Linked DNA regions of Arabidopsis thaliana. The protein of the gene in region 2 purifies or fractionates together with the protein of the main gene of each other region. This does not show direct contact. Each region holds a gene or a part of one and is shown on either strand. Other genes may lie near its edges.

Region 1 (6,226 bases), on a different chromosome or scaffold from region 2:
GATTTTAACATTGGGTGGATTAGCGTAGGATTATCGAATTTACTGATCCAATTGCGGAATTATATTGGAGTATGACACAATAAATTAAATACAGAAAATTACAAAATAAATTTTATTAAATAGAAAATATTATGATTATGATTTATGATGTAAACTATCAAACCAAAATTGCCACAAATATTTCCTCACGCTGCACATCGTGGATCCTTATCTAGTTTACCTTTAGATTTTCAAACCTCTAAAATTGAAATAATGTTTGATAATTTTCAATAATGCAAAAAAAGAATGAAGAAGAAATTCAATCAAAACAAAAGACAAACATATCACATATAAACTTCATTGTTCTGATGCTTCTTTGATTTAGCAATTTTGGGGAAAAATAAGTTCGAATGCAAAAATAAAGTTTGTAATTATTCAACAAAAAATTCGGGCATACCAATTTTTTTTCTTTCTTTTAATCGTTTGAATGCAATTTTTTTGTTCGGAATATGAACATGGCATGTAGAAAGATGAAATGCTTGCTAGAGCGTTGAAGTTTAGAGAAGCGTTTGTTAGCATGAAAGCTTTTGATACCAATGATAAATTTTTGATCTATTGAAACCTTTTAGTGTTATTATCACTTACTTTTTAGGCTCTAAGTATCCCACATCCAATGTATACTTTACACAAATATGGAGGATTGAGTTGTTGCTGAAGAAGTATGCTATTTGTGATGATGATGTTGTTGAGCAAGTGGCTCAAGAGATGCATGGTAAATTTTCCGAGTATTGGGAAGATTATAGTCTCATTTTGGCTATGAGAGCAGTTTTGGATCCGAAGCTTAAATTGAAGATGCTTGAAGTAGCTTAAAAGAAAGTAAATTCTACTACTTATAAGTTAAAAATTAAAGGGCTCGAGAAGAATTTGATGATATTGTATAAAGTTGGAACTTGGTGAATTAACTTAATGTGAGTTTTTGTAACATAAGATCTATTTGAACTAGAAAGAAGTATTGAAGACGGTGTGAACAACACAAAGACACACTTGGATATTTATTTGGATGAGAGTGAAAGTCTTTTTCGAAATTTGGATGTCTTAAGCTATTGGAAAGATAATCAGAATCGATTTGGCGGTTTAGCTTCTATGACATGCGATGTCCTTAGCATTCCTATTACTAAAGTAGCATCAAACTCAGCTTTTAGCATTGGATCGAGGGTTTTGACTCCATATAGAAATCGCTTGCTTCCAGAAAATGTTCATGTTTGCTTTGTACTCGCAATTGGCTACGCAAGTTTGTTGACTATGAAGGTAAGAGTTTTAAATTGAAAGCTTTATAGGTAATTGAATTATATTAATTAAATTTCATTGTAAATTGTAGGTACCACAGAAGATACCAATGAGTTTAACCATGGAGATACTCGAAAGACTACAAGTAGTTCGAGAGTAGAAGGTTCAAGATCGGAAAAATCAAGTGTGCCATGAAACTTTTGTTTTTTCTCTTTTGTTTTTGAAATATTTTTTATTTTAAGTTTTGTTTTGGTAATAAAACCACTTTTGATATTAAAAGTCTTTATGAATCACATTTGATAAAAACATGGATTTGATTTTACATTTTAAAAGTGTGTATGAATTAAATTTGATAAAACATGGATTAATTTTACATTTTATAAAAAAGTTTGTGTTTTTTTATGAATTGAAACAGCCAACTAATTGGTATATAACTAAATATTATTTATGAAATTTATATAGAGAAATATATATAAGAAAAAAATAAGTCTAACAAATACCGAAACTAGCGGGTCACAAAAATAAACAACGGATCAAAAAATAAATCAAAGAGAAGAAGAAATCTCAACAAATTCTCTAATTCAGTGTTCTTCTTCTTATAGACTCCAAAAACCTCTGAAGAGCCTAATCTCAAAATTTCTAGGGTTTTCTCTAATCGGAACCAAAACCAATGAACTCTTCACCACCACCGGCGAATTCCGCCAACGGCGATACAACCAACAACGGCGAGAACGGTCAAGATCTGAACTTAAACTTCTTAGACAAGATTCGTCTCTCCGCTAAACGAGATGCGAAGGAAGACGAAGGAGAAGAATTACCGACGGAGTTGAATACGATCAATAGCGCCGGCGGATTTCTTGTGGTTTCTCCTGATAAGCTTTCCGTGAAGTACACGAATACGAATCTACATGGTCACGATGTTGGTGTTGTTCAAGCTAATAAACCTGCTCCGATCAAGTGTCTTACTTACTACTTTGAGATTTTTGTTAAAGATTCTGGTATTAAAGGACAAATTGCTATTGGTTTTACTAAGGAAAGCTTCAAAATGCGTAGACAACCTGGGTATTGTTTTCTTTATCTTTGGATTTTGGATCCAATCTTTGTTGATCATTGTGTGTTGAAGTTGTTTAGGGAAGAATCTGAATTTGAAGGATTTAGTTCAAGAAGTATAGTTTTAGCTTGTAGCTTGATCATTGTTGTGTTTAAGGTATGGTTTATTTTAGAAATTGAGGTTTGTGGTATGGTTTTGGGATCCAAGTTGTGGTTTAGTTATTATAGAGATTTAGCTTCTTGGATTAGGTTGTGTGTGTTCTTTCTGGTGAGTTCAGTTGTGTAGAAGTGGTTTAGGGAAGAATCTGAAATTCGAAGGACATTGCTTTGTGGTTTATTTGAAAGCTAGGTTCTTGAGTTTACAAATATGGATGATAGTGCCTTTGAAAGAAGCTTTATCTGCCTAATACTTGAATTTGAGGTTATAGTTTTCTTTTGTAATGGTAGATGGGAAGTGAACAGCTGTGGATATCATGGGGATGATGGATACCTATATCGTGGACAGGGAAAAGGTGAACCTTTTGGTCCAAAGTTTACAAAAGATGATGCAGTTGGCGGTGGTATAAACTACGCTTCTCAGGAGTTCTTTTTCACGTAAGAAAGAAACTGTTTCATGTTTTTTGGTACTTAAATAAGTTCATTACTACTGTGAGTTGAATTCATGATTCATTCATTTTCCTGTTACTCTTTGTCTGTTAAAGCTGATGACATTTTTGATTATTTTTGTTGGTGCCAGTAAAAACGGAACTATTGTTGGGAAAATCCCCAAGGACATAAGAGGTCATCTATTCCCTACTGTAGCTGTACATAGCCAAAATGAGGAGTATGTTCTCACTCTCTCTTTAAAGATCAATACCATTGCCATCATGTATCTCACTCTCTCTTACACAAAGCATATTTTTCTGAAATTTTGGCAGGGTATTAGTCAATTTTGGGAAGAAGAAATTTGCTTTCGATATTAAGGTAAGAGGAAAAATCCTTTCAAACGTGGTTAATTAGGTCTCATAGCTTTATACTAAAGTAAGGATGGTGTAACCAGGACTACTGCTATTGAAATCACATAATAGGTATGCCTCATGTCCGTTCTTGGTACTGGGGTTACCGAATCTATAGCAGTGGTTCTCTTTGTAGACATTGCTCTCACATTTGCTATTTTACTGTTCCTGTGTAATCAAACCTCAAACTCTTGGGCACTCAAGTTATAATCTTTAAACACTGAAGTAGGGCATAAAAATTCTTTCCATTACATATATGTTTGAAATTAAGTAATTGACGAGGGCTGTTTCCCTCTTTCTGTATTATTAGGGATATGAAGCATCAGAGAGGAATAAGCAACAATTGGCTATTGAAAAAATATCCATACCTCCAAACATTGGTTATGGGTGAGTACACTCCTTCCCAGCAGTAACAGATCATGTACTTTTTTAACTTTGAATTGCAATACTTGGTTTCCCTTCTGGACTAGCTTTCTGCTTTATCTATAATTTTGTTTTCTTTATCATTAGGCTTGTCAAGACCTACCTGCTACACTATGGGTATGAGGAGACACTCGATGCTTTCAACCTTGCTACTAAAAATACAGTTCCTCCAATTCATATAGATCAAGAAAATGCTATTGACGAGGATGATTCATCCTATGCTTTGAAACAGAGAAAGAATCTTAGACAGGTATTGAACTTGCTACGGTTTAACATATAAGACATGTTATCTTCTAACTTTATTAGGCTTGTATCTGGCTTTTTTTGGTTCCTATTCAAACCCATACTAAATTACTGCTTCGTTAGTGAATTTGGACTGATTCATTCTTTATTGGGTGTAGCTTGTTAGGAATGGTGAGATTGATACTGCTTTGGCGGAACTCCAAAAGTTGTATCCCCAAATTGTACAGGTGAACTGAGATTTCTTATCATATTGTTGAGATGATCCACTTCACAGGATTGTGATACGAAGTCTTACCCGGCTGTACCTACTGCAGGACGATAAATCTGTAGTTTGCTTCCTCCTTCACTGTCAAAAGTTTATTGAATTAGTACGGGTATGCTCTTCATTCCTTAACCATCTAAATTTCGTGTTCTTAATACTTGTCAGAAATATTCTCTCTCTGTGCATATAAGAATAAAATTTTTGTAATTAAGGAAGCTTTTGATGGATTTGGTGTCTCATACAAAAATTAGCTGCTTGAACTGTGTGATGGACTTTGGTGTTAAACCATAAACTAGTGAAAAAATGCACAGAACCTATAACACACTGGAAACCATGTTACATAGATGCATGGAACCTTGTCACCGTGTATAAATATCACCTTAAGTTAGTTCTCTGGATTATTCCTTCTTTGTTCACTTTCACATCTATGCAGATGGGGCTATTTCTCTAACTATATGGTTTTGGAAAAACATGGCATAAACAGGTTGGAAAACTTGAAGAAGGTGTGAACTATGGCAGACTCGAGTTAGCTAAATTTGTTGGGTTAACTGGATTTCAAGATATAGTCGAGGTACCAATGTCTCCTTTACTCCTTTTTCTTTCAAGCAAGATCTGGTTTCTGAGAATATGTATGTATTGCGTTCAGATACAGAGACTATATATGTTGCTGCTTCGCTTAGGAACTCTATTTTCTTGTTGATTATTCAGGACTGCTTTGCTTTGCTCGCGTATGAAAAGCCTGAGGAATCATCGGTCTGGTATTTCCTAGAAGACTCACAGAGGGAATTAGTGGCTGATGCGGTGAATGCAGCAATACTATCAACAAATCCAAATAAGAAAGATGTGCAGAGAAGCTGTCACTTGCAATCCCATCTAGAGAAACTGCTAAGACAGTTAACCGTGTGCTGTTTAGAAAGGCGGTCACTGAATGGAGACCAAGGTGAAACATTCCGGCTTCGACATGTTCTTAACAACAACAGATAAAGAAGATGAAAATGGCTTAGCCGCGCATATATTTTGAAAACTCTGTTTTTCTATGGTCGTTATCATCATAAGTGGCTTTTGTTCATTACTTGTGTGATATTATGTTGAACTTTCCATTATGTAAAGGAGAAAGTTAGAAAAATGGGTTCGACGTTAAGACACTGGGACTTCCACTGTTATTGGTTCTTTAAAGTTTAGATGATTCAAATTAAGATTTTCAACATTCAAATCAGAAATGGAAAAACTGAATTAGCGGTGGGGGTGTTCGGGTTTAGCGGTATCTTTCGGGTTTTGTAACTTTTGTTCGCTTGGGGTTACCTGAAATTATTCTCAAAAAGAGATTTTATGGTAAACAGAAATTTTTATGAAGAGAATCTTTAATTTTTTATTTTCTTTTCATAATTTCATGTGACGATGTATAAATGTTATGATGGTAAATAAATATTATTGTAAATTATAATCAGTTTTAAACAATCGAGAAAAAACAAATTCTTGTTTAAAATGTAAATTTAATAATTATAATTACAATTTTCACATTTTCAAAATAATAGTAAATATGAAATTTGACCTATCCAATAAAAGCCCAATAACTAATGTAAATAGAGTCTATATTGATCATATTTAGCTTCATCCAATGCTTTTGTGATTAAAAACCCACGTGAAAAAAGGCAATGAGTCCCACATCGGATGCGAAAGCAAGAAAAAATGAAAGTTTGGCTATAAATAGTTAAACATACCGAGTGTTGAACATATATATTTTTCTCATGCTTTGGTTGAAGGTGGCAATAACCTCAAATATATCAGAGGGTGTAGATACTCAACGACTATAGGAGGCAATAACTTGAGCAAACAATTGATTGCAGAAATCCATCGACTAAAGCTGTCACCTGTTTGATTCCAGCTTTTGTCTCCTTACCTGTTGAGTGTCTAAACTCTCTGGTACGTTCATAGTTGTTGCTGCCTTTCGCTTTTTTTTTTACTACACGCAATTGTTTGAAAGAAA
Region 2 (4,398 bases):
TCTAAAAGTTCATATCATATCTAAACAAGTTCAAGATTTAGTATATACATGGACACGTATTAATTTATGTAGACCAAAAGCCAAAAAGTAGTTCACAAATTTATGTTAGTGGAGAGAGGAGAGTTTTGAAATGATCAAGAAGACAAAATGACCCTAAATACTTATCTTTAATTTAATAACTCTTTTATAATGTACTTTATCCATTAAGAATCTCAAAAAGCTCTCCAAACATAAAGAGTTTGATCCTTGGGGTTGTATTGTATTAAGTGAATGATATACCAAATTTTAAAGTGTTTTCTTTTCGAAGCACCAAAGTTTAACGTTTCCATTTTCGTATAGATAAAGATATTCGACAATCAATACTTAAAAAATGAAACATTGGTGAGTGAACGACGAATGATGGTCGTATGATGAATCGGTAAGTTCTGTCTTGGCAAGTGATCAAAGTTGGCGCGATAACGGATCTTCCTGTCATTCAAAATTCAAGACCACTAGACCAAAGACCATATGGGTATAAAAGGTTTTATTTCAAACTATAGTTTTTGTACACGAACCCAATTCAAGTTCATAAAAGAAAAGATAAGAAACATTTGTCTACTTTCTTTAGAAATGCTGCATAAGAAGTTGTAAAGCTAGTCTAAAAATATAACTGCTTACACTGCGAAGCATCAATATCTGTTGGACAATAAGGACACTTGAACGACCTTGAACCATTCCTCGACATTCTGTTGATAGACTGCTTGCAAAGGACATGACCGCAAGCCAATCTCATCGGCGGATTATCTTCGCTCGAGTGTTCTTTAGAGACAGGGCAGACAAAGACCGAGTAGAAGCGATACTCTTCAGAGAGTTCCACAGGTACAAGAAGTTGCTCCATTGTTTGCCACTCTTTTCTTTTCTCCGGCAGCACGTTCAAATACTTCAAAAACGTCGGTAAAACTTGTGAACCTGCTGCAACTGTTACACTTAAAGGACTCTCTGGTGATTCACCGAGTAGGATGCAGTATTGTCGGGTTAGTTCCTTGGCAGCGTTGGTCCACAATACAGGTGAGAGGAACTCTGAGTATGGGGATTTATTGAGGTTTCTGATCCATAAGAGAGAGCACATGAGTTTCTGTATCTCAGGGAAACAGCAGCTATCTGCTGAATACGTAGCAAAGTGTTTTCTCGCGTAGTTGATAGCTTCTTCGGAGGTTTTGTCTTTAGCTATCTCCAAAAAGTGAAGGCTGTGAAGTTTCAACTCAAGATCTGACTTTGCTTCCTTTAGCTTGTCAGAGTTTGAAGCTACCCATTTCAAAGCTGGTCCGAGATCCCGTTCTTTCATGGCTTCAAGTATCATATTCATTTCCATGAAAGCTTTAGTAACAGAAGATTCAGGCTTAACCTCACCAGTCTCGGAAATGAAACAGTCACCAACGTCGTACATGCCTTGCCTGTAGAAAAACTGAGCTAGTATCTGATGAACTGTATGAGTATCAAACTTAACGTTTCTGTAAGCCGTCGATATATCTGGATTCAGAGTTTTGTCAAGAGCTTTCGGGTATTTGGTAAGAACCCCATTTATTTCTTTCTGAGACGCTTCTAGTAGATTGATTGGAGCAATCTCCTCAAAAGTTTTCTTCAGATCAGCAACAACAGATTCATGATTATCCTCCTGTATCGTTTTCAATGCCTTGTCGATTTCTTGAGACATTTTGTCTACCACTTCATGCGTTTTGCTATAGCATAGTTTCTGCTTTTTGGTAACACGATCAAACGCATCTTTGACATTCTTTAGCTCCATTCTAAAGATAATCAACTACATGAAAGAAGGAACCAAGTATCAATAACCAAAAGAATCATATCCACAATAACCACTATAATCTCCATTAATCAACTCATTGTTCAGAGGAGTTCTTAAATCTAATCGATTCATTGCAATTCAAATTCTCATAGCATAGTAGCAGAATCAACGCATCAGATGCAACACCAAACATTTTTTCTGATTATTCATACCAAATGATCCAGGAATCGAAATATCAGACACACGGATTCGAATTTCAAACAAACCAGAGAATCTGACGATCGCGAATCAGAAATGAAGCGAAGAAGAATTCATATTAAGAAACCGTGGAGAGTCAGAGATACATAAAAGGCATCAAAGAATCTGGAAAAACATGAACCTGAAGAAGCGATGAAGATTATCGCCGGAAACGGAGAAAGATGGAATCGGAGGAAGAAGAGAAGATGAATTTGCAGATTTCTTCTTCAGTTTCTTTGAAATAATCAATCTCTCTGATCTTGAAGATGAATGAATCACAGCCGTTGGATTTGATCGGTTTCTTTTCAACAATGTAACTATTTGGGCCGAGAATATTTTTACGTGGGCCTAGTTAATTAAAATTAAATGCGACAGTTTGAGGTGTCCTCTCCAAGTTAACGAAATGTATATATGAAGAAGCTAGGTCTCTCGGCTCTCGCTAGGGGTTTCTAGGTTTATAACGTATCAACAAACAAGGATTCATTATCTCCGACTCCCAAATCAAATGATCTCATCATGGAGATATTGTCGAGATTACCTTTAAAGTCATTAGCGAGGTTTCATTGTGTGTCGAAGCTATGGGCATCAATGTTTGGTAGTCCATATTTCAAGAACTTGTTCTTGACCAGGTCATCGGCTAAGCCGCGCCTCTTATTCGCCTTAGTTGAGAAAGGCGACGTTAAAGAAGAATCATGTGGTGTGTGGAGCTTTTTCTCGTCGCTTCAGCTTGATAATTTATATGAGGAATCGTCGTCCACTCTTGTAGCAGCTGCCGAATTTCATGGGAAATTCTCTCCAAACAATCATTATGTTAACCTAAAAAAAAGTCACGTGGCTACGCCTCTGGTTTAGTCTATTTCCATGGTAGTTAATACCAGGGTGGACTTCTGATATGTAACCCCATCACAAGACATCATGCAATTTTACCGAAGCTCTATAGTTATAGACTGGCATATAGCTTTTTCGGATTTGAAGGGGACGTGGGATGTTTGATGTTTTAAACCCGTTTTGTGTAGGTAACAAAACTAGCATCACAAGATTATACCAACTTGACCAAAGGTCTGTTTAGTGATTTTGTAATGGACGTTAGGCCATCTCCAACGCTGGGCTCTGTTGAAATTTTGCAGAGTCTCTGTTGATTATTTTGATTAAAATTTAATCAAACTGAAAGAAAAACTAGAGAAGCGTTTCTGTGGAGAGAGTTTATGAGGGAATGAGAGAGGCGAACATGTGGCATACATTCATTGGTTATCTTCTTTAAACAAAAGAAAAAAATAAAAATGATTGATTTCATTTTCTTTGTTTTGCCCGAACAAATTCTTTTCTCTCTCTCCTTCTCTTTCTCTTCGCGACATTGACAAAAGAAAAATTGCTCAATCTTTGAAAAACCAGAATAATTGACGCCGGTGATTGTTTGTATTTCGCTGTGTTATCTTAGGCTTTCAACGGTGTTCACATCGGCGGAAGTTTGCTGAAATCGAAAAATAGCAAATTGGATTCGGAGAGTTATCGCCGACGCCTTCCCCAATTTAGGTATGAATCAATTCTAGTCTTTATTACGTGATTAGATGTTGTATTTGGTGGTTTAATCAAAAAAATTAGGGTTTTTGAATTGAAGAAAATTTAGGGTTCTTTTTTTAAAATTAGGGTTCTTCGTTTGTAGCAAGATTAGGGTGTTTTTTGATATATCTTGAAGCATTTTCTATAGTTTTGTATGGTCATAGATCGTTTTGGAGACATGTTGTATAGATTTATATGGTCATAGATCGTTCGATAGTTTGATTTTCTTTTTAATGTATATGTAGATGTGATTGATTGGGTTTAGTAAATGTAAACTTTGTTGTTTAATATCTGTTTATGTGATTGAATCAAATTGTAAAGTTAACTGTAAATGCTAATTGTTGTTTTTTTCTCTATGCTTTTGGTGAGTGTCAATGGCGGATGAGCAAGTGGTTGTGAGTTAAGGAGAAACTGTAAAGGAATTCGTCTATGCACTTCAATGAAGGTAAATATGTACTTGATTGATTGTTATATAGCATTGATTGTTATTTTTTTTGTGGATAGACGTTACATAGCTTTTCACTGTGATAAATGGTTTTTGACAAATGATAAAGCTTTTGATAGTGATAAATGTGAGCTTTAGACAATGATAAATGTTTGCTTGAAGTTGATTTCAACTAATAACCATAATAATGGCTTGAAGTTGATTACGACTAATAACCATAACTTTTGCTTTTAAAAATCTTTTTGCCTTAACTGAAATTATTAATGTCGAAGCAGTTTATATATAACCCAAACATCCAAAGCTACTAACTTAAACCATTCTATTCCTTAAACACATAGCTTCTCAGTTAACTTTTCTCTTCTTTAAACACATA
Region 3 (5,111 bases), on a different chromosome or scaffold from region 2:
CGGGTTATCTACAGCTCGCTGACATATTTACAAAGTCTCTCGCCAAGGCTCCTTTCGAATCTCTCCGATTCAAACTTGGTGTCGATTTCCCACCTCCTCCAAGTTTGAGGGGGAGTATCAACAGAACAGCTCCAAACGACACAGTTTTGGAATTGGGCTCAAAACCATTAAAGCCCAATCCGAAACAAGTGCCCAATCCAAGAGCCAAGCCCAACATAGTGCAACGACAACCTGCAACAACAAAGGACAAAAGCAGAAAAGTTGCAGAGCGGTCCTTATCTCCACGCAGTACGGAAGTAACGACGAGGAATCGCTATGAGGCTCTTGAATCATGTGAAGACAACGACGCCACATAACAGCCAAGTGACAGCTATGCAAATCAAGAAGACACTAGGTTAAATCAATCTAGATGTATAAATAGACATAGCTTGTAATCACAAAGGCTTAAGTTGAAAGCAATAAACAAAAGACTTTCGATTTCATATTTTAACTTACAGCTAACAACAACATGTCATTAAAATTTGTAGCCGATTAAATTATCAAAATTAGTATGAGCAGCTCAATATTTGCCGATTTGTAGATAAATACTTGTAAATAAAAATTTTCAAGCTCCAATATAATCTCGTATATAGTTGTGAATCAAGTTAAAGTATGATCGCTAGTTTTAGAACATTTGAGCTTACACAATGACTCTATCAAGAGAAAAGATAAAAAGAAAAACAGAAAAAGTCAAGATTTTATTCACGAGCATAGAGTGAGCAGGTGGCTTCAAACTGTCTAAGCACTCGCTCAAGTGAAGCAGATTGCTGGTCTCTGGTGGCCGGATTTGTAGATAGAATCGCTTCACTGACTGCAGCTGCTACTATGTTCTTCTGTGTTTCTCCTAGAAGATATGCAGCACCTGATTCTTCTATAGTTTCACACTCGAACAAAGCAGAGCAATCCTGAAATAGAGAAAAACAAAACTATTAGTGACTCAAATATGAGAAACCTAATCTAACAGTTAGAGAATCACTACATACATCGAAAAGGTTTTTTAGTAGGCTTGAATCCCTAAAGTCTTTAAAATCTTGATTTCCAAATGACTTAGCCTCTGCTATTGCTCCTTTCTGCATTGTAGTTAGTTAGAGAAACACACCATGGATATGTGTAACAAATATACAAGGAATAAAGAACATACCCGTACTAATTCGACAATCTTTTGACAGATAAGAAGAAAATAAGCTTCTGATCCACCCTGCATATGATACAAGCAGCTTGTTAAAATAGTTCAAGGAATGTTAACAATGTGAATCACTCGATATATTAACTAGTTACTCAGCCCACCTCAATAAGTTGGGGATATCTATCCTTGAGTGCAGCAATAGCATCATCAATCTCAGCAGTCATTATAAGCTTTAACAAACAGAATGCATGGATCAGTTCGATATGAAACAGAAAAGATGTAGCAATGTAGCTTGCTTTTGGTTGATTTTGTACCTCACAGAAAAAAAATAAAAAAAAAATTACAGCAAGATAACCATAGCAGTGAAAAGTACCTCTCTGAGCTTTTTCCTTTGATGCAATTCATACTCATCAAAACTATTTTCTTGTGCAATAACAGTATGACGACTTGCAGCCAGGTTAAAAGCTCTAAAGCTATCTTCATATCCATAACGAAGAAGGTAGGTTTTTACAAGCCTGGAAAAAGGAAGCTTTAGCACAAACAGAAACAAGAATTACAATTAAGAACAGGCAGGAAAAGACACTTTACCCATGACTAATGCTGCGAGACATGGAAATCTTTTCAATTTCCCTTTCTTTTTTAACCCTCAATGATTCTTCAAAATGCTGAAATAAAGGTGGATCAGATAATAGAATATTGTATCAGAAAAATATGCCACATACATGCAAATATGGACATATGTGAGAGATGCATATTATTCTGCTTACTCAATAGTTATTCTCCGACTATGCAAGAAAAGAAAAGTACGACCTTACCTCAAAGTCAAAAGAAAACGCAATCTGTCCGCCGAAATTGACAGTGACAGCTTCGTTTTGGCTATGCAAAACAATTGTCGGGTATACAGGACGCCTAAATTGCCTGGGGATTGTCCCTACGATAGTTCCATTTTTCCTATAATCAAAGAAGTAGTCATAGATGTCAGCAAGTAAAACATACGCAGGGACATGTCAAAAACATTGTGACATGAAGAAATGAATTGTGTATCTTGATATCTACTTTTCCAATTGTAATGAAACATGTTCAGATAGGGAAACAGTTATTACTTACGTGAAAAAGAATTCTTGTGAAACCGAGTCTATACCGCAACCAACTAAATCACCTGTTGTATAGGTGTCACTGGCTTTAGCAACAGTTCGATCACCATCTCCATTTTGAGAGCATATGAGTCCACTGTTACCAATGTAGGCACAGCTTCTGACAGTATATCTAACATTACAGAGAAACATGAAACAGTGAATTGGAATGCTTAATTACTGAAAGGTGAAAACATCTAACAAAGCAAATCTCCCATTAACTTGTAAGATACCAGATCTAACAGCCAACACAATCAAATTGAGCAGCAAATCACATAACCTATTTCCAAGTAACGAATCCAAACCATTGAAACAGTGATTTGAACTACTGATCTACCATTGTATCTAAACCTATTTCCCAATTTGTTCTCTCAGTCTCAGGTACCAAATCAAACAGAATCAATGATTGTATTGAGTATCAAATCACGCAATAAGTGGTAAATGCGAATTGAAAGGGAAAGAAAACGATACCCTTCGCTATAGATGTGTTCCTTGGAGAAACCAATCGCGATCTCTCCTTTTTCACCAGCATTCATGATATGAACCTCGAAGTAGTAAGCAAGACAGTTAGTCGGCGCCGGATTTTCAGTCTGAAGAACTACGCCGTCGTGATCAGGGCCCGTGTATTGACCGGAGAGCCCATCGGGAGAAACAAAGGTAAATTCGTCTGAACCACCGACCGTGTATAGCGCCGTTGGCCGCAATTCTTCTTCCTCTTCGTTTTCCTCCATAGCTTCTCTCTGGTCAGAATCCCCCAATTCGTCCGAATCTATTGAATCGTAGAGAAAGAAACCCTAGAAATGCGATTGAAATGAAACCCCCAAATGTTGTTGAAGGGCATCAAAAACCACTTCGCGCCCAATGTTGTGTTTGCCAACAATAAATACGATTAAACCAGATATTTTTTAGTTAACCGGTAAATCAAATAACCGTATATTATTAAGTAAATAGATGAAACTCGGTATATTATTAAGTAACCATTTCTATGTTTTTTTCTCTTTTGGTTTTTACTTTTTAGAGTGCTTTTGGGGTGAATTTACACCTTATGTGAACACTGTTTATTAATGTTTTTCAATATCAATTATACAATAAAAATTTATTAACATAAACTTTTCTCTCTCGGTTCTAGGGATGGTATTCTCATGTGATCTCTTACTTCCAAATGATGCCATGCTTCTTTATTCAGATCCGGAAATCAGTACTATGACGAAGGATATGGAGCTCCTCCATCACACAAGCCTCCTTCTAACTGTGGAAGTCCACCTTACGACCCTGCTCCTTCAACTTCATCACACATTGATATGGGGCTTGCTTGTTCCCTGTGGCACTGTTGGAGGAGGTTTTGGTACAGTCAGTACTCCCAGTAGCATTCCAGAGTTTGATCATCACATGAACCTTCTTCAGGCACTTTCCAGACACCCGCACCGATCCCATTCGTGCTCTCTTCCGTCAAGGTACAACTTCGTTGGGGTCGGATTCCCCCACAAGCAAGACCGAGCCAAACAGTCTAAGAATAACAATCACCTCATGGTTAAACATATGATTGGCCCCTAGCCTAGAACAAAGCACCTCGGGACCTTATTCGATCGACCGTCCCGAAGAGAGTTTGTAAAATGGCTCGGGTGTTAATCATATGAACACAGCCCGAGCCAATCGTGAGAACGCTGCGGGACACATCTATATCGGCTCGGGAGACAGCCAACTGAGCTTAATGGACAGTCATCAAGCGCGCCCCGAGCCGGTACATACCGTTTGCCCCGAAGCCACCTCTCAAACGACCACCGAGCCGTGAAGAACACGCGAGGCAAAGACTTGTAAAAACCATTCATTCTCCAAGGATCATTTCCGGTAAAATGGGATCTTTTATGGGACTTTCAGAAATGATAAAGGAGAATCTTTGAAGATAATGTCGAAATCAGGAAATCTCCCCAAAACCTCCGAAGAATAAGGAGAATATCCTTAGGACGATTATCCTCTAGAACCGACCTAAGGATAAATAAGAATCTTCCGAAGAATATCGCTAGGGAGGCGGTTTAAGGATCCTATATAAAGTGCCTTAGGGACTTCACAAAAAGGGGGAGATCTTGGGATATTCACAAGAAACATAGAACTTTATACCTATTGAGAACTACGAATGGCTTGATCCCTTCACAGGGTACGTAGGCAATCCATCATGGATGCAGCTATACCTTTTTAAAACTTTAATTCTTTTTCTGTTCTTGAGCAAAACCCTAATGTATTTCATAAGAGATTAGAACCCCTCTTGTAATCGAGTCTTGGATAGAATACCTAATGAAGAGAAATTACTAGATTTGTTTTCCCTCTCTAAACAAATCTATTGTGTGAATCCTTGGTTCAACAAACTTCTTGGTTAAACTCCATGACCATGGTCAACACTAAGTTCCCTTTCACAACACCCGCAGCTATTAGATACTATATATACTATAAACAGTTTAAGATTCGTATTTGAAGCCATCTCGAATATAAATCTATGTTTATGACTAGTCTGTTTTATAAACGATCCGTCAAGTCCTTTGAAGCCAGCTTTTTAGGTAAGGGAGAGAGATAGAATAACTAAGATAAGCAAAACAAAGATTAGGACGTATATGCATTGCCGAATAGTGAGATAAGTAGACAAAGAATGAGCAACTGTTTTTTTTTTTTTGGTTCTTCGGTCACACACCAAACAAACTTCAAAATGAATTCTTATGTAGCTTTATAGGAACCATACCATGGTGGAGAATAAAAGCCTAACCAGTAAACCAACATTTGAAAACAAAAACCCTCTCTTGTTATTAGTACTACCTAGGGGT
Region 4 (5,525 bases), on a different chromosome or scaffold from region 2:
CAATTTGTAAGTTCCTTAGATATTCTCAATTTTCTATTATCTATTTCACAATATCTATTAATGATTTTGATAAAATATATTAAGAAACTATATTATTTTCAATCTTTTAGCTTTCAGATTAGTTTGTTAGATTTTTTTTTTCTGTAATGATAAAGCATGAAATGAAAATCTTGTAAAGGATCATGATCAAAAGGTCTTTGCTCATTTTATATCAAATTGAATCAATTTTATTTTTGCTTAAAATATTTAAAGTTCAATAAAAATAGGTGAAGATAGATCTTTTTCAGACAAAATAAAATAAGATATAAATCTCTTTTCCACTATTCGACATTACGATTGCTTTATTCTATTTGATCCATTTCGAGTCATCATTTTTATACTCGAGTTTCATATAAATTATGTTTTCGCAAAATTCAGTTTTAATTTTGTTGAATTATAATGATAATTTATACTCCCTCAAATCCATAATATTTGATAATTTGTTAGAATTTTGATGTAAAGTTTTTTATTTAAATATATTAGATTTAGCATAGTCATGATTTTCTAAGATAATAAATTGTTTTTCTAACTGAAAACTATCCTTGTTTTCATATTTTGTAACAAATTATTAAATGTATAAAACTCGATGAATTATTGACCCGCAGGCAGACCAGGTCGATCAAGACATCTGGTGAACCAAAAAACTTTGAGCTCACAGGGGTAGTTGGGGAGGAGGATCAGCCACCCCGAGAAGCTTCTGAGCGCGGAGCCTTCGATGAGTCTAAGCTGGTTGACGTCAACATTGCCTTGAGCTGGGAAGCCTTTGAGGTGAAGCAAGGAACAGAGACAGTGCGTGAGTATTATAACGAGTTCCTTAAGAAGGTCAAGAACCTCGGAAGAGAGTTGGAGGAAGAGCAGCTGGCGTGTCTGTTCCAGGAAGGGCTACGCGAGGAGTTGCAGGAAGGGGTATGTGCAGCGAACTGCGGATGGATCCTTAATTATGTGTCAGATGTAGTTGATGAAGCTGAGAAGGTAGAGGCCAAACTTAGAAGCATCAAGGAAAAGGTGCCGCTCGTGTCTGAGGAGTTTGCAGATGTTGACTGCGGACAAAGCAATTTGGGCCGACCCGCATCCGAAGATGAGGTGGAGAGCAAACCCTCCAAATCCTATGATCCGGAAGACCATATCATGCAAGATTGAGATGGCTAGAGTCAACATAAGGTCTTGAGTCTTGTGGATTATGTTTCCTATTTTATATATCAAAAAGTTGCTATTACTACTTCCCTTTATTTACTTCGTACCATGTCATGCAAGATTCAAAGCTGTGTCAGTACCAAAATAATATTTTGCGAAGAAGAAGAAAAATCAAATGATGTTTCAGTACGGTTCGCAGAGATTCTCCATTTCGACGGTAACAGCACTCAATTCAATAGGTCATGTTGCTTTCTAGGTAAGTAGGAACCGTGCCAAGTTGATTCATTGATTCATGTAACTATACATGGGATGAATAAGCCATCTCTCTTGTTTACAATTCGAACCTTTTGGAACAAAAATATTCCTCAAAACAAACACAAAGATCCAAACAAAGTCGATAACTTCATTCAAATCAAATGCACGTATGCAATGAGTCATCAAATATGTTGATAATAAGAACATTTGACTAGAGTAATTCATTGCCTACAAAAGCTTATGTTCCCCTCCCCATATCCTAACGATTGCGGGTCCAACAAATCCCGATGCAGAAGAAAAGGAAAAGCAGAAAGCATATGAATTGTAAGTTATTGAGATTGACGGGAAGAGAAGAGAGCACCATTCATTGTTCCTTTTTGCTACTGATTTCCAATGGCTGAAAGAAGTACGGAATCATTCTGACGGGTCTTCGAGCTTACCGGTAGACAAATCATTAATGTGCGGATACACTGCTTTCTCGTCCAGTTGAGTTTGAGCCCAAATCAACATCTTCAACAAGCTTGGAAGTTTAGGATCTGTTTGTTCACAAACATTGAGTTGCTACATTAACCATGGAGGAAAATGGAAAGTTTCAAGAAGAACTTGGATGATACATGTTGTGGGTGAAGTAATGAATGAAAAATTTTACTTGTTATGTAGAGAAGAGTTGCATATACTTTGAATCTTAAGATTGATAATGAATGATGCTCGAGATTATAATGGTATTTTGTGGCTACTAAAAGACAACCAGTATAACATCAAAATTCAAAAGCTACCTTTTTCGTGGCTCTGGCTTGTAAGAATCGCTGCATTTACTTCACTTGCTGTCTTAAGACGGTGGGAAAGATCAAGAAGCTCTTTAACCGGGCAGGTAGAGGCATCGTCAAAAACAAGTAGGGCTACAGTTTTTTCCAATTCTTCCAGAAACGCTTGCTGCAGAGAGATATAACAGACTGTATGAATGAAGTTTCAGCAACAACAGATATTACACACAGTCAATGAGCAATACACATGGAAAACACCATCTTTAACGACAGAAATCAAAGTGAAATACAAAGACTTACGTTTTCTTCGCCACGTGGTGCAAGTTCCTCCTGAGCAAACTCTAAGGCCTCTTCTGTCTTCCCTTGTCGAATTAATTCTATCAACCTTTGCTGCTGAAGATGAAAAAAGAGCTCCGGATTCGTGTCTAGTATCTGCAAGCATGGGTTCAAAGAAGAATCAGATTTTGCTTCTTTATTACATCAGAAAAGTGAATGACTACTCTCCACACAAGATATGAAGAAGCATTGTACCTCAGGATTCAAATCATTAACTTTTTCAATCGCATCCTCGACATTTCCGTTTTGAACAGCCTTTTTAACAGCCATTCGATCAGTAATGGTCGCAAGATCTATCTCTGCTGTTTCTCGATAAGGAAGTTCAAAAGGAGTAGATAAGCTAAACATCAAACACACCAATTCCATAAACAAAAACTCAAAACCAGAATCAGAAAAAGGATACGTTTGGTTCCAGACTCCCTTTGGAATTTCTCAGCAGCTTCAACATATCCTTCAGTCACAAGAAAATTCATCACCAAAGTATTCATATCTTCTTTCCTAAGCTTCACAGCATTTAGTTTCTTCTCCCATTCTTCACGTGTGATCATTTTCTTCGAAGTAGCCTGCGACAAGCCACGATTAAAACTAGGTCACACAACGTGCATAAAGATTAAAGTTTTCCAAAAACCCATCATCAAGTTGTATCAAATAACACAAAGAACAGACTCATAAGAGGAGTCAAAATTACCATATCTTCGTCGTCTTCTTCAAGCTGATTGATAAAAATACGAAACAGTGACATTAGAACGCCAGTGAGGCTCTCATATCTTGAAATCTAATCTAATCCACTCAATACGAAATTAATACCTGTTCGAGCAACACTCCGATCAGAGCTATTTCCAAAAGAAATTGACTTTGTGATCAGATAGTGATACAAAGTAATTTAGGGCTTTAGTCAAAATTCAAGCTTTAATCTCAAAACAGCACAGGAGTGGTAGTTCTAAGAAAGAGAGAGTGTGCGACTATTTTCCTCAAAAATTGAATATAACGATGTACCTGGAGAAGTGGAGAATCTGGGGAAGATTATCTGGGAACGATTCTTGCAAATAATCCGGAGATTTGGCGATCGATTTGCTTCTAGATTGCTTGCGAAAGTCTCTTCCCTAAATTTACAATCTGATAAAACAAAAAAAAGTTGGAGGTTTTCGATAGAGAAGAAGAGATCGGGTTTAAATTATTAGGATGTTGACGAACCGTCGATGAATAATCCGGTTTAAATTATTAAGGGAACCGGTTTGTTTTTGGATTTGGTTCTTTATATACCGGATAGTATTATGTAACTCATTTCCAAATGATTTTAATACCCAAAGATTTTTAAACTATTTTACCTTTGAAGAACAAAATTTCGATTTAAAATCATAATTTTTTTTTATTTTTTTTTTTAAATCTTGGAGGTTGTGGGTCAAAGTCCGTAATCCCCCAGGCCTGAAACCACAGCATAAAATATTAGTTTCGTCCCAAGCGTCACTCGAACCGGCGACCTCTAAGCTTTGCATAAGGTCTTTACCAATTGAGCTAACGACACTTGGTTAAAATCATAATTAAATAAGACTGATGTTAAAAATCTCTATATTATTTGGAATTTGATACACAATTTAAAACCAATAACTGATACTCTATTATACTCTATTAAAATCAACTATTAGGTAACAAATATGTGACATAAACATTTTGCAGTCCGATGCAAAATATATCTTTCAATCTCAACAATATGTTTTTTCTTGGTCAACAATCTAACAATATGTTTAATTGCATCTTCAAACTAAAGTCCCAAAACATGTTTTGTTCTTTGCACATGGTTGTTTGTGTGGAACCACAATAAGACAAAGGATCGATTGCAGAATTTGAGGTCTTCTAGCTAGTTGACCGACTAAGAATCAATGGACCACTTATTCTTTAATATTATTTTTCCCAACTGGTTTGGAAGGACTTAGTGAAGAAGTTACACTAAAACTTCTCGAGTCAATCCTCATATGGTTTCTTTTGGCAATTCCTATCTCTGCAAAATCAAAGGCTCTTCATATCAATTAATATGGCAAGCAACTACTTTGAGACATGGCAAGAACGGAATTGTTGATCACATAATAAGCAAGCTCTTTCTCATCAAACTACCTACAAAGTTTTGCGCTCTACAAGATATTTGATCAATCATAAAAATGGTGATCTCGTATAATACTAGTCTTCTTTTAGGGCTAACAAATGATTCAGAAGATTACAAATGTGCTTTGTAGAAATTAGCAATATAGTGCTTTGTAGAATTTTATGACCACAAGATTGGTAAGATCATTTAGTCAAATATATGTTTTATCTCTTCTTATTGATTGAGATGATTATTTTTCTAATGAGTCGATCCACATGTCTAATTCCAATTGATCTTTGTGATTTAGTTTCATATTTGTTTTCTTTAACATATGAAATTTTTTTGTTAGTGTAGAAAATCTAATTTTCACACAATTAAAAATAATTTTTACAATAAATTATGATTAGCAAACACTTCAAAAAAATCTCCATTACTTAAACACTTCAGTTTCCTACTACTAATTAAAGTTGTTTCCTTTTGTTTAAATTGTGATTTTGCTTTAACAATAAAGATGACGGCGCATAAAATATAATTATATATAATCATGCATTATTAAATAATGAAAAAATGGAAAAAAATGAAAGAAAAAGAAAAACAAATGTTCGACCGTTCCTTATTTAAAGCCGGAAGTCCCATAGCCTTGTGGTGTTTACTTTTTCCAATTCGGAGAAAGCCAAAAGAGAGAACAAGGCAATAAAAAGAAGCCACCGTCGCTACAAAAAGTCGCGATTTTTATTTTCTCTATCCCAACTGCTCTCTACCTTTCCTCGAAAATTCCTTCAAAACCCAATTCTCAAGCCTTCTTCTTCGTCGTACCTGAAAATTCTACAATCTCTGGATCTACGCGTCTACTTCTGAATTTCGATTTGGGTTTCCCGGGAGCTGAAATTCCGTGACTTTTGGGTTTTCTGATTTAG

The links.
Region 1: the proteins of AT2G22690 (region 2) and RanBPM fractionate together in Arabidopsis thaliana (co-fractionation; one large-scale study listed by BioGRID). This does not show direct contact.
Region 3: the proteins of AT2G22690 (region 2) and AT4G09310 fractionate together in Arabidopsis thaliana (co-fractionation; one large-scale study listed by BioGRID). This does not show direct contact.
Region 4: the proteins of AT2G22690 (region 2) and AT1G61150 fractionate together in Arabidopsis thaliana (co-fractionation; one large-scale study listed by BioGRID). This does not show direct contact.

The regions. Positions count from the first base shown.
Region 1 is NC_003070.9:13,050,633-13,056,858, reverse strand, and holds RanBPM (SPla/RYanodine receptor (SPRY) domain-containing protein), read left to right. Parts: upstream 1-1,765; 5' UTR 1,766-1,936; coding exon 1,937-2,328; intron 2,329-2,763; coding exon 2,764-2,910; intron 2,911-3,052; coding exon 3,053-3,139; intron 3,140-3,233; coding exon 3,234-3,279; intron 3,280-3,621; coding exon 3,622-3,698; intron 3,699-3,821; coding exon 3,822-3,984; intron 3,985-4,135; coding exon 4,136-4,204; intron 4,205-4,291; coding exon 4,292-4,351; intron 4,352-4,723; coding exon 4,724-4,810; intron 4,811-4,947; coding exon 4,948-5,223; 3' UTR 5,224-5,702; downstream 5,703-6,226.
Region 2 is NC_003071.7:9,649,183-9,653,580, forward strand, and holds AT2G22690 (zinc ion binding protein), read right to left. Parts: upstream 2,393-4,398; 5' UTR 2,163-2,392; exon of another isoform or gene 1,996-2,162; intron 1,799-1,995; 5' UTR 1,784-1,798; coding exon 638-1,783; 3' UTR 508-637; downstream 1-507.
Region 3 is NC_003075.7:5,900,867-5,905,977, reverse strand, and holds AT4G09310 (SPla/RYanodine receptor (SPRY) domain-containing protein), read right to left. Parts: upstream 3,166-5,111; 5' UTR 3,030-3,165; coding exon 2,770-3,029; intron 2,432-2,769; coding exon 2,273-2,431; intron 2,117-2,272; coding exon 1,981-2,116; intron 1,831-1,980; coding exon 1,754-1,830; intron 1,681-1,753; coding exon 1,539-1,680; intron 1,396-1,538; coding exon 1,327-1,395; intron 1,238-1,326; coding exon 1,181-1,237; intron 1,110-1,180; coding exon 1,023-1,109; intron 945-1,022; coding exon 738-944; 3' UTR 529-737; downstream 1-528.
Region 4 is NC_003070.9:22,540,673-22,546,197, reverse strand, and holds AT1G61150 (LisH and RanBPM domains containing protein), read right to left. Parts: upstream 3,702-5,525; 5' UTR 3,525-3,701; exon of another isoform or gene 3,336-3,524; 5' UTR 3,271-3,335; coding exon 3,217-3,270; intron 3,092-3,216; coding exon 2,932-3,091; exon of another isoform or gene 2,895-2,931; coding exon of another isoform or gene 2,831-2,894; coding exon 2,724-2,830; intron 2,625-2,723; coding exon 2,493-2,624; intron 2,362-2,492; coding exon 2,205-2,361; intron 1,965-2,204; coding exon 1,843-1,964; 3' UTR 1,180-1,842; coding exon of another isoform or gene 645-1,179; 3' UTR 537-644; downstream 1-536. Other genes in the region: AT1G61160 (retrotransposon gag), read left to right, coding at 1-6, 645-1,179.